3 linked regions of the Danio rerio genome follow. The protein of the gene in region 3 purifies or fractionates together with the protein of the main gene of each other region. This does not show direct contact. Links are inferred from orthologs where the notes say so. Each region holds a gene or a part of one and is shown on either strand. Other genes may lie near its edges. The genes, in order: flvcr1, clcn3 and tmem9b.

Evidence for each region.
Region 1: the proteins of tmem9b (region 3) and flvcr1 purify together in Homo sapiens (co-immunoprecipitation; 3 studies listed by BioGRID and IntAct, counting the BioPlex papers as one, with this or other methods). This does not show direct contact. The link is inferred for Danio rerio from reciprocal best matches to the Homo sapiens genes TMEM9B and FLVCR1.
Region 2: the proteins of tmem9b (region 3) and clcn3 purify together in Homo sapiens (co-immunoprecipitation; 3 studies listed by BioGRID and IntAct, counting the BioPlex papers as one, with this or other methods). This does not show direct contact. The link is inferred for Danio rerio from reciprocal best matches to the Homo sapiens genes TMEM9B and CLCN3.

The regions. Positions count from the first base shown.
Region 1 is NC_133195.1:41,124,317-41,127,977, reverse strand, and holds part of flvcr1 (heme transporter FLVCR1), read right to left. Parts: intron 1,521-3,661; coding exon 1,417-1,520; intron 1-1,416.
Region 2 is NC_133182.1:7,339,301-7,343,061, reverse strand, and holds the start of clcn3 (H(+)/Cl(-) exchange transporter 3), read right to left. Parts: upstream 2,342-3,761; 5' UTR 2,200-2,341; intron 1-2,199.
Region 3 is NC_133182.1:28,600,994-28,604,754, forward strand, and holds the start of tmem9b (transmembrane protein 9B precursor), read right to left. Parts: upstream 2,859-3,761; 5' UTR 2,688-2,858; coding exon 2,589-2,687; intron 2,313-2,588; coding exon 2,221-2,312; intron 2,110-2,220; coding exon 2,001-2,109; intron 1-2,000. UniProt on the Homo sapiens protein: Enhances production of pro-inflammatory cytokines induced by TNF, IL1B, and TLR ligands. Has a role in TNF activation of both the NF-kappaB and MAPK pathways.

The sequences.
Region 1 (3,661 bases), on a different chromosome or scaffold from region 3:
CCAACACACTTACCTGTAGGTTTCAAACAAGCCTGAAGGACTCGATTAGTTTGATCAGGTGTGTTTAATTAGGGTTGGAACTAAACTGTGCAGAGCTGCAGCCCTTTTGGAACTGAGTTTGACACCTGTGAGCTAGTCCTTCCAATGATTTATCACTAAATATTGGCTCAAGTTGATATGGTTTAATCAACTCCATTAGAAACTGAAATTCAATAACTCTTAAGACCTTTTCTAAGACTATTACCGTGCAGAGTTCCCTATTAAAGGAGGGATTTATAGAGCTGCACAATGTCTCATATATCGCATTGTGTGCATCCACAAGTCACATCGCAACATATGCAATGTTGAGTCTGATTATAGATGACCATAGGTTAAAACACAGGATATTTCGGGAGTCACTGCATAATTCAACCACAATAGACTGAAAGTTTATCATCTGCATGTGTTTTTAGTATTGTAAGAGAGTTTAAAACATTTGAATAGAGCATAAAGAAGTTTAATGAAGATTAGTTTTATTTAATTATTTATATGATGAAGACTATGCAGTGTTATTTTACATTTGATTATTAAATTTCTGTACTGAATATAGTTACTCTCTCCAGAAAACCATAAAGCATGGTTTATTTCACTTTGAGATTTGCTCCATTGTGTTTATTTATGGCTGTAGTTGGTTTATTATATGTACAGTTAAAGTCAGAATTATTACCCCTCTTAGGTTTCACCTTAAAATGGTGTTTAAATAAAAAGGGGCAGCACAGTGGTCCAGTGGGTGGCACAATTACCCCACAACAAGAAAGTTGCTGGTTCGAGCCCTGGCTGGGGCAATTGGCATTTCTGTGTGAAGTTTGCATGTTCTCTCCGTGTTCAAGTGGGTTTCCTCCAGGTGCGATGAATGAATGAATAAAAAATTTAAAACTGCTTTTATGCTAGCTGAAATAAAACAAGAATCCCCAGAAGAAAATTTCCTTGCTCTGTTAAACATCATTTAAAAAAATTCAAAGGGGGCTATTAATTCTGAAAAAAATAAATGACAAAAACTATATTTATATTTCACTTCTCTACAGAATCATCCCACTCAATATAAAGTAATGCCTTAGCAAATAGAGCTATTTAAGTAATCTGATTAAATTGTATTTATATCGCATTATATAGAAAAAAAATTGCAATGTAAAATGTTTCCAATATCGTGCAGCCCTAATTTAAAATTAATGAAACTTTGAGCAAATCGTTTGAGATTCTTTAAATGAGAAGATGTGAAATATATAGTTGTTTTTTGACCTTGGATGCATGTACAGTAAACCTATTGTAGGAAACCTCCAAAACAAAACTAAGAACCTTTAAAATAGCATAATAGGGCACTTTAAATTACAAGCAAACGATTAAAAGATAAAATCCACCTGTTCAGCATATACTTACTTATAGGTTTTAGTACGATCCAGCCAGATTCCACAAAGTATGGAGCCAAACATTCCAGCCACCACCAAGGTCAAGCCGATTCTGCCTGTGTTTAGCTCCTCACCCTAAAACAACAAGTTTGTATAAGATTAAAAGGTGTTTTAAAGTGTGTAACTTAACATTTCAATCATTTTTCAAACATGTTAGCCTTGATCTTAAGACTTTATATTAGAAGCTTACAAAAGCAAATTCATTAGGGCTCCAGTTGAAACCAGCAGCTGACAGTGTGTCCACCAAAGAAAACAAAGTGAAAACACCTAGCAGTGCATGCTTGATTTGAATAAGTTGAGATGTTTTGGTAGATATGATATACAGTTGAAGTCAGAATTATTAAACTACCTGAATTATTAGCACCCCTGTTTATTTTTTCCCCAATTTCTGTTTAATGGAGAGAAGATTTTTTCAACACATTTCTAAACATTAGTTTTAATAACTCATTTCTAATAACTGATTTATTTTATCTTTGCCATGATGACAGTAAATAATATTTGACTAGATATTGTTCACGACACTTCTATACAGCTTAAAGTGACATTTAAAGGCTTAACTAGGTTAATTAGGTTAACTAGGCAAGTTATTGTATAATGATGGTTTGTTCTGTATTCTATCAAAAAATATATAGCTTAAAGGGGCTAATAAATTTTGACCTTAAAATGTTTTTTTTTTTTTTTTATCAAAAACTGCTTGTATTCTAGCCGGAATAAAACAAATAAGTCTTTCTCCAGAAGAAAAAATATTATCAGACATACTGTGAAAATTTCCTTGCTCTGTTAAACCTTATTTGGGAAATATTTAAAAAGGAAAAAAATGTTCAAAGGGGTTTAATAATAATGTAAAAAGTTTAATAATTCTGACTTTAACTGTAAAATACCTATGGATACTGTTAATAACTACCCTTCCTACACTGTGATTGGAAAGTTGGCTAAAAAGGTGAAAGTTATGAGCAATTATTTTTACCTAAAGTTGATCACTGGCACTAGCTGACACTAAATTTGTGACGCAAGCATTTGTGATTAAAAAGCTTTTTATTTAATTTTTTATTTTTTAAAGAAAAAGCCAGACTTTTTTGCTATATAAAGCCATTATTCCTTGGCTGGGACCATGTAAAGCTCTCTGAAGCTGCACTGTACCTGCAATTTACAAGTTCAAACTACTGAGCACCCTAGAAATCAACTATATGAAGAAAACATCCTAGGGCGTTTTCCTCAAAAACTGAATTTCTTTTCAGTAGAAAAAAGAAGGAAATTAACATCTTGGATGACAAGTGGGTGAGAATTTATAAAGATTTTTATTCTGTATCTTTTTAAAACCAATGCTCCCATTGAGACCAAATGGAAAAATGTGCTACCCTTGGTTGAAAAAAGCATTGGTGGGTGCACAGCCCTAACAAAGAAAATTCTGTATAAAAAATGTCAAAACAATTCTTGCTTACCTAGACCTATTTAAATAATTAAAAACAGTGTTATATAGTACAGGTCAGTAGCTGGCGAAGCAAATTTGCGAATGAAACACTACAAACCTGTGCACATACTCTCTTGTGTAATCAACCATTATTGTTTTAGTTGTCAAGTATTCATGCAGTCTGATAGTATGAACACATCATACCCATGAGAATGACGTCACAAAATCATGCTATTGTAGTTTACACAGAGACCACAATAACTGCAATAATAATAAACTGCAGAGGTTTGCAAAGAAATTAAGCCATAAATATGATCAAACAATCAAAATCTTCATTGTGTATGACAAAAACGCAAAAAGAAATGAGGTTATGTTGAGGTTAAGTTTAGATAAAAGGTACAAAACTGTGCGTTATAATAACAGATTAAAGAAAATATACATGAACATAAAATATGGGTAACACTTTAAAATAATGGTCCATTAGTTATTGTTAGTTCATGTATTTAATAACGTGAACAAACAATTCATTACACTTTTATTACGTATTTATTAATCTTTGTTAACATTAGCTAATGTTATTTAAGTTAAATACCATTAGTTCATGTTAACTAACGGTGCTTTAACTAATGTAAACTTTGGAATTTAATAATTCATAAGTAAATGTTGAACCATGAATCATGAATGCTTTACAAGATTATTCATATTTAGTAAATGTTAGTAAATACATAGACTAACATTAGCCAATGGAGCATCATTCTAAAGTGTTACCAAAATAAATGTATTTACACAATAACTGTATAATTCT
Region 2 (3,761 bases), about 21 Mb from region 3:
AATATACATGTCCCTTCACAAAAAACAGCACTGAAATCAGTTCATACAGTCACTAAAAGCTATATGAACATTATGAACATGAACACTAAAGCTGAAATAAACAAACAATCGCCATCATCAAGATAAAACAGAAGCTTTAACTAAAAATCTACATCTCACTTCACAAAATTAACACTGAAAATAGACATTAAAATAGAAAAAGATCAAAATAAACAAACATCATTACCAACATTAATGTACAACAAAAATGTTTAACCAGAAATCTGCATCTCAATACTGGACTCTGAATTAAAAATAGCCCTGAAATAAGTTCAAGCAGTCACTAAAATAGACATTAAAATGACAAAAATCTCAAATAAACAAACATCATGAATATAAAACGAAAGCTTAACTAAAAATCTACATCTTCACTGAAATAGCCCTGTAATCAATTTATAAAGTCATTAAAATAGACATTAAAATAGACAAAGATCAAAATAAAAAAAACATCATCACCATCATTAATGTACAAGATACAGGTTCAACCAAAGATCTGCATCTTACTAATGGACCCTGACTTAAAAGTAGCACCGAAATCAGTTCAAACAGGCATTAAAATGGACATTAAAATATAAAAACGTCCAAAAATAAAATATAATAACCATCATAAAGATAAAACAGAATCCTTAACTAAAAATCTACATCTCTCTTCACAATAAGGCCCTGAAATCAGATCAAACAGTGATTAAAATGAACATTAAAATATAAAAAGCTCAAACAAACAACATAATCACCATCATGATGTAAAAGAAATGGGTTTAACCAAAACTCTGCATCTCAATACTGGACTCTGAATTAAAAATAGCTCTGAAATGAGTTCAAACAGTCACTAAAATAGACATTAAAATGACAAAAATCTCAAATAAACAAACATCATCATCATGAATATAAAACATAAGCTTAACTAAAAATCTACATCTCTCATCTCACAAAAAAACAGCCCTGAAATCAGTTCATAGAGTCAATAAAAATAGACATTAGAATAGAAAAAGATCCAAACAAACAAACATCATGACCATCATTAATGTACAAGAAACAGGTTTGATCAAAAATCTGCATCTTACTAATGGACCCTGACTTAAAAGTAGCACCGAAATCAGTTCAAACAGGCATTGAAATATAAAAACCATCATTAAGATAAAACCAAAGCTTAACTAAAAATCTACATCTCTCACCTCACAAAAAATAGCCCTGATATCAGTTTATACAGTCATTAAAATAGACAAAGATCAAAATAAATAAACATAATCACCATCATGGTGTAAAAGAAATGGATTTAACCAAAAATCTGCATCTCAATACTGGACTCTGAATTAAAAATATGGAAAAATCTACAAATAAACAACATCATCGCCATCCTTAATATAAAACAAACAGGTTTAACCAAAAATACGCATCTCACTACTGAATTCTGAATATAAAATAGCATTGAAATAGATTCATACAGTCATTACATAGAAATAAAATAAAAATTAAAAAATAAACAAATATTATCAGCATAACGAAGATAAAACTGAAGCTTTAAATACAAATCTACATCTCACATCACGAAAAATAGCCATGAAATCAGTTCATACAGGCATTAAAATAGACATTAAAATATAAAAAGCTCAAATAAACAACATAATCACCATCATGAAGTAAAAGAAATGGGTTTAACCAAAAACTCTGCATCTCAATACTGGACTCTGAATTAAAAATAGCCCTGAAATCAGTTTATAGTCACTAAAAATAGACATAAAAATGACAAAAGCTCAAATAAACGAACAGCATCACCACCACCATCATCATTATGAAGAAAAAACAGAAGCTTTCACTAAAAATGTACACTTTACTTCACAATAAAGCACTGAAATCAGTTTATACAGTCATTAAAATGGAAAAAGCCTAAATAAACAAACAGCATCACCCTATCACCATCATCATGAGGATGAAAGAGAAGCTTTGACTAAAAATACATCTCACATTTTGAAATTCTGCGTAAACAAATTTGACTTTAAGCAAATAATACACTCATTAAAACAGAGCCACAGGACTGTATGTGGCTGTAGAGCAACATGTTTAAGTGTTTATCATAAACCCGAGTCAGACAGCAGCTGACAGGTGCTCGCTGGGTTAAATGTGATGCTGTTCCTCGCACACAGATGTTCTTGATCTTACCTCTGCGATGCCTCGAAACGAGCTCTGAAACCGCGGATCATCCCAGCAGCACAAACCCAACACGAGGACGCATTTTATCCTCCGTTTGTGCCTGTGTTTTTCTGCTCCGCTAACGCTTATTTTGGCCCATTCCTGTGTCTGTGACGTGCACTTCCGGTGTCGCTCCGCCAGCAGCAGGAATTCAGATCCGATTCATTCGACTTGTTTAATTAAACGTAACGTTAAATCAACCGGAGAACGACGGTGTAAATAACAGTCTCTGAATTAAACATGTGATAATTACACATAATTAAAAATAACATGTCTAAAATGTGGGTTATGTCACAGTACAATAACGAACGGGTATTTAATAATAATTAAAAACAACAAATCAGGTAGTGACGTGTGTGTGTATATATATATATATATATATATATATATATATATATATATATATATATATATATATATATATATATATATATATATGGAAAAAGCTCAAATAAAGCTAAACTATTATTAAAAATAATATATATATATATATATATATATATATATATATATATAATATATATATATATATATATATATATATATATAAATAATAAAAAAATATATATATATATTTATTATTATTTTTAATAACACTACATTGTGACATCTTGTATATAATATATAGTGTAATATAAATATAAATTTATAAGTGCAAAGTAAATTATCTAAGGCAATAAAGAAATTATGCTAGAAAAAATTAAAACAAAATAAAATAACAAGCAACCATAAAAAAAATCATGTATTATAAAATTAAAAAGAAATTAAATAAAGGAATAAATTGTGCAAATAGCAATAACAACAAATGTATACAATTTATATAACACTTGTGATATTTTCCTATCAAAATATTGTCATATTATTATTATATTTAAACATTGATATTAAGAGTTTCATATAAAATATTAATTGAATAAAATCAATTAAGATTTTTACAAAATACAAGTTTAAAAATAAATCAATAAGTTATTAATAATGCATTGAAATAGTGATAAAAATTAAAGTAAAATAATTATAATACATATAAATTAAAACAAAACAGTATAAAAATAAATGTATAATTAATTGTTATAATATTTTTAATCATAATAGTGTTCTAATGTAAATATACATTATATTTATTATTAATTAAAATAATGCTAAATTAAAGTAGGGTAAGGCAGTGGCGCAGTAGGTAGTGTTGTCGCCTCACAGCAAGAAGGTCGGTGGGTCGCTGGTTCGAACCTCTCCTCAGTTGGCGTTTCTGTGTGGAGTTTGCATGTTCTTCCTGCCTTCGCGTGGGTTTCCTCCGGGTGCTCCGGTTTCCCCCACAGTCCAAAGACATGCGGTACAGGTGAATTGGGTAAACTAAATTGGCCGTAGTGTATGAGTGTGTGTGAATGTGTGTGTGGATGTTTCCCAGAGATGGGTTGCGGCTTGAAGGGCATCCGCTGCGTAAAAACTTGCTGGATAAGTTGGCGGTTCATTGCGCTATGGCGACCCCGGATTAGTAAGGACTAAGCCGACAAGAAAATGAATGAATAAATTAAAGT
Region 3 (3,761 bases):
TCTTATGGTCAGAGAGTGTGAGTTGCTTTGAATAGAAATGTCTGCTGAATACTTAAAGTAGATCAAAACCTTTCAAGTAGTCCTAATACTATTCAATCAACAACAAAACTTTTTTTAAATCCACTTCTAATTTTGACTATAAAGTATGGACAAAATAAAAGCAGCAGCACGAGTGGTCTTCAATGAACCTAAAAGAGCACGTGTCACTCCGCTGCTAGTCCGTTTGCACTGGCTGCCAGTTGCTGCTCGCATCAAATTCAAAGCTCTGATGTTTGCCTACAAAGTGACTTCTGGCCTTGCTCCTTCTTATCTGCTCTCACTTCTGCAGATCTATGTGCCCTCCAGAAACTTGCGTTCTGTGAATGAACGTCGCCTCGTGGTTCCATCCCAAAGAGGGAAGAAATCACTTTCGTGAATGCTCACGCTCAATCTGCCCAGTTGGTGGAATGAACTCCCTAACTGCATCAGAACAGCAGAGTCACTCGCTATTTTCAAGAAACGACTAAAAACTCAACTATTTAGTGTCTCCACTTCACTTCCTAATCTGCAATTGCCTCTCTGGATATACCACTAACTGTACCAAAAAAAAAAGAAAAAAAATACTAATGCTTTCCTTCTTAGACTTTACAGACCTGAAACTTGCCTATAGCACTTATTCATTGTTGCTCTTATAGTTGTGTAAATTGCTTCCTTGTCCTCATTTGTAAGTCGCTTTGGATAAAAGCGTCTGCTAAATGACTAAATGTAATGTAATGTAATGTAAAAAGTCTATAGTTTCATTTCATATTATGCTCTATAATGTATTTTATGGTGTCACACAAGCTTAAAGGTAGTAAATGAAGGAGAGTCTAGGCACTCTCAAACATCAAAGATCAAAAAGACACCAGCGACAATTGAGTGATAAGTTTACTAAAGTAAAAAAGGCAAATGTTTTGGTTAGGGGGTGCAGTGAGTTTTTGCTTGTTTTTTTGACAAGCTAGAAGGTACAACATTTACATTTTGCATTCCATTTAACAATCCTTTATTTAGGGTGACTGTAATCATTTTGTGAAGAGTTTTAAATTTCATTCATTTTTAATTGACATTCCTACATTCGTAATCAAACATTACCCAGGAAAAAATAAACACACATGAAATGAGTACATTTTTAGGTGTATAGACCATTTTGATAGAGGTAAACCATAATAATGGTCCTAACCTGTTTTCTGTTTTACATTTTTTAATTACTAAAGCTACAAAGTATCCAAAAAGGTCCACATATTGATAAATAATGTTAGATTTTTAACATTTCATATGATTGAATTGGTACTTTGTACGAGCAGTAAATGTTCGAGGGCCAGTGACATCGCCACATTGGAATGGTCTTTACCAGGGGTGTCCAAACTCGTTTCTGGAGAGCCGGTGTCCTGCATAACTTAGCTCCAACACATCTGCCAGGAAATTTCTAGTATATCTAGTAAGAGCTTGATTAAATGGTTCAGGAGTGTTTAATTAGGGTTAGGCTAAACTCTCGAGAACACCAGCCCTCCAGGAGTGAGTTGAGACACCCTTGGTGTATATAATATAAAATGTAAAAAAAAAAAAAAAAAACGGTCATTTCCATGTTACTATACAAAAACTATAAATTGGTTAAATTTATAGAAAAACAACTATTATGACCTGCATAAAGAGCTGAGATGCAAAAGCCTCCAAGTCCCACCTAAAATGAGCATTTTTGTAAGACTCCTGTGTGCAAGTTTGGTTATTTCACCTTTATGGTGATGAACAGGATATTTTTATTGCTTTTAAAGTGAAATAACTGAACAAGAACCTAAGTTGAAATAAATACTCATTTTAGAAGTAAAACTCAGATGAAACATAGTATATTTACCCTGTTATCAGAATATGAGGTGAATTATATTGTGATATGAGATTTTTTGTCATATCGCCAAGCCCTCTCTCTAAATTCCCTGTCTCCATGCATTTCAATTTGTCATGTCATGTAAACAAAATGAACTTACTTTGATAGTTCCAGAGCTCCTTTCTTCATATTTGCATTCACAGCGTAAACAGTATGCCTCCACATCCTTGCCTTCAACGGGCATCGGCTCCACCACATGAAGGCAATTACTGTGCATATCAATATATTCAGAGGTTATGGATCAGTGAACAGAGGGTCAAAGAGTTAGTTTATAACTGAAAGTACTGTAGACTCGCTTAAAGCCTTAGTAAATTATTTACCAGTCTTTCAAGGAAACGTTTTGATTGTAGATCTTCCCATCTACCTCTTTGTAGGGTGGACAGATGCATTTGCACCGGATATCTTCCGAATTCTGATGAAACCAATCCAAAGGCATAAGCTTGCATATATACATTAATAAATGACTAAGTCAAACCACACGTTTATGAGCACTAAAAACACATTTTACATCGTTTGAAGTCAGAAAAGCGTTGCATTTTTAATGATGCAACGTTACGTGTGCTTTTATTTCACATACACTACCACATGCTAATAGCTAGTTAGCATTGCCCATAACATCAGTACGCGCCGAAGAGCACAAAGTATTATTTTCGTGTATTACAATAAAGCGGGAAAAATGATACTTTACCTTAGCTTCTGATGTTTGTGCGGACAATAAAAGCAGAAAACATAGCAACGATGAAAACGTCAACAAATTGACAGCGGCTCTGTGGGTCAGTCGATACATCTTTCTCGCTTCAGTTCTAAAGATTGCTGTCAAACGCCGAAGAGAGATATTCTCGGAATTACGACTAAACAAATATTCGTTTAGCAATTCATGCAATTGTTAGACGTCTTTTCCTAGAAATAAAAGACAACAAAACAACGCGTGAGGGCTGGTCTGACACATCAGCTGACCGTCAGCTGCGGTCCGCAGATTCTCACTTCCTTCCGGAAACAAGTGAATGGGAACTAATGTTCTGCGAGATTGAGCATGTCCGTTTACTAATAACAAGATTTAGGTTACAAATGTTTCCACAAAAGAGTCGTATTTGGGTTCATTCCAGTCATGTGTTTCCTGCATGATGCATTTAGGTCATGGCTCAGTTCCAGGTTTCAATATGAAAATGTGTTCATACATCGATGTATGTAGGTTTATTTTCCCTTTTGATCATATAAAACGACTTAAAGTATTAAAATACAGATTTTATTAGTATTTTACACACATACATGCATGTCCACGTAAAAAGGGCTGGGCAAAAATACATTAAAATGTATTTTAAAATAAAATACCAAATACCTTTAGATTTAGGTGTATCAAAATAAACTACAAAAGACCGCAGCCACAACTTGTATCAAAATGAAATACTGTATTTTTGTATTTTAAAAATACTACAAAATACTTTTACAAGAGAGCATGACATTTCTTTGCAAACCTTCAATCAATTGGCATATTTGCTCAATCCCTTCACCATTGAACTGACTTTACCATTTTAGCATAAATGGTGTACAATTTCATACAGAAAGTCCTGTGTTTAAGAGGATCTCTTTATGTAAAAATCATGTCATGCATATAAAAAGTTGAAACATAGTACTGTATCTCTTCATTCTGTTTCCATCTATTGCATAGCCGGAGAATGACTATGTGCTGAAGACTCCACATCCTGTTCTTTAGGACTAATATTTTATTCCATCTCATTTCATAAGCAAAGATGCTGATGCCAAATTGTACACTATACTGCCATTATATATTACTGGTCTGAGCAGTGTGCAGTATACTATTTTCAATGATTGCTGACTTTTGTTGCCATTTGTCTGCTAT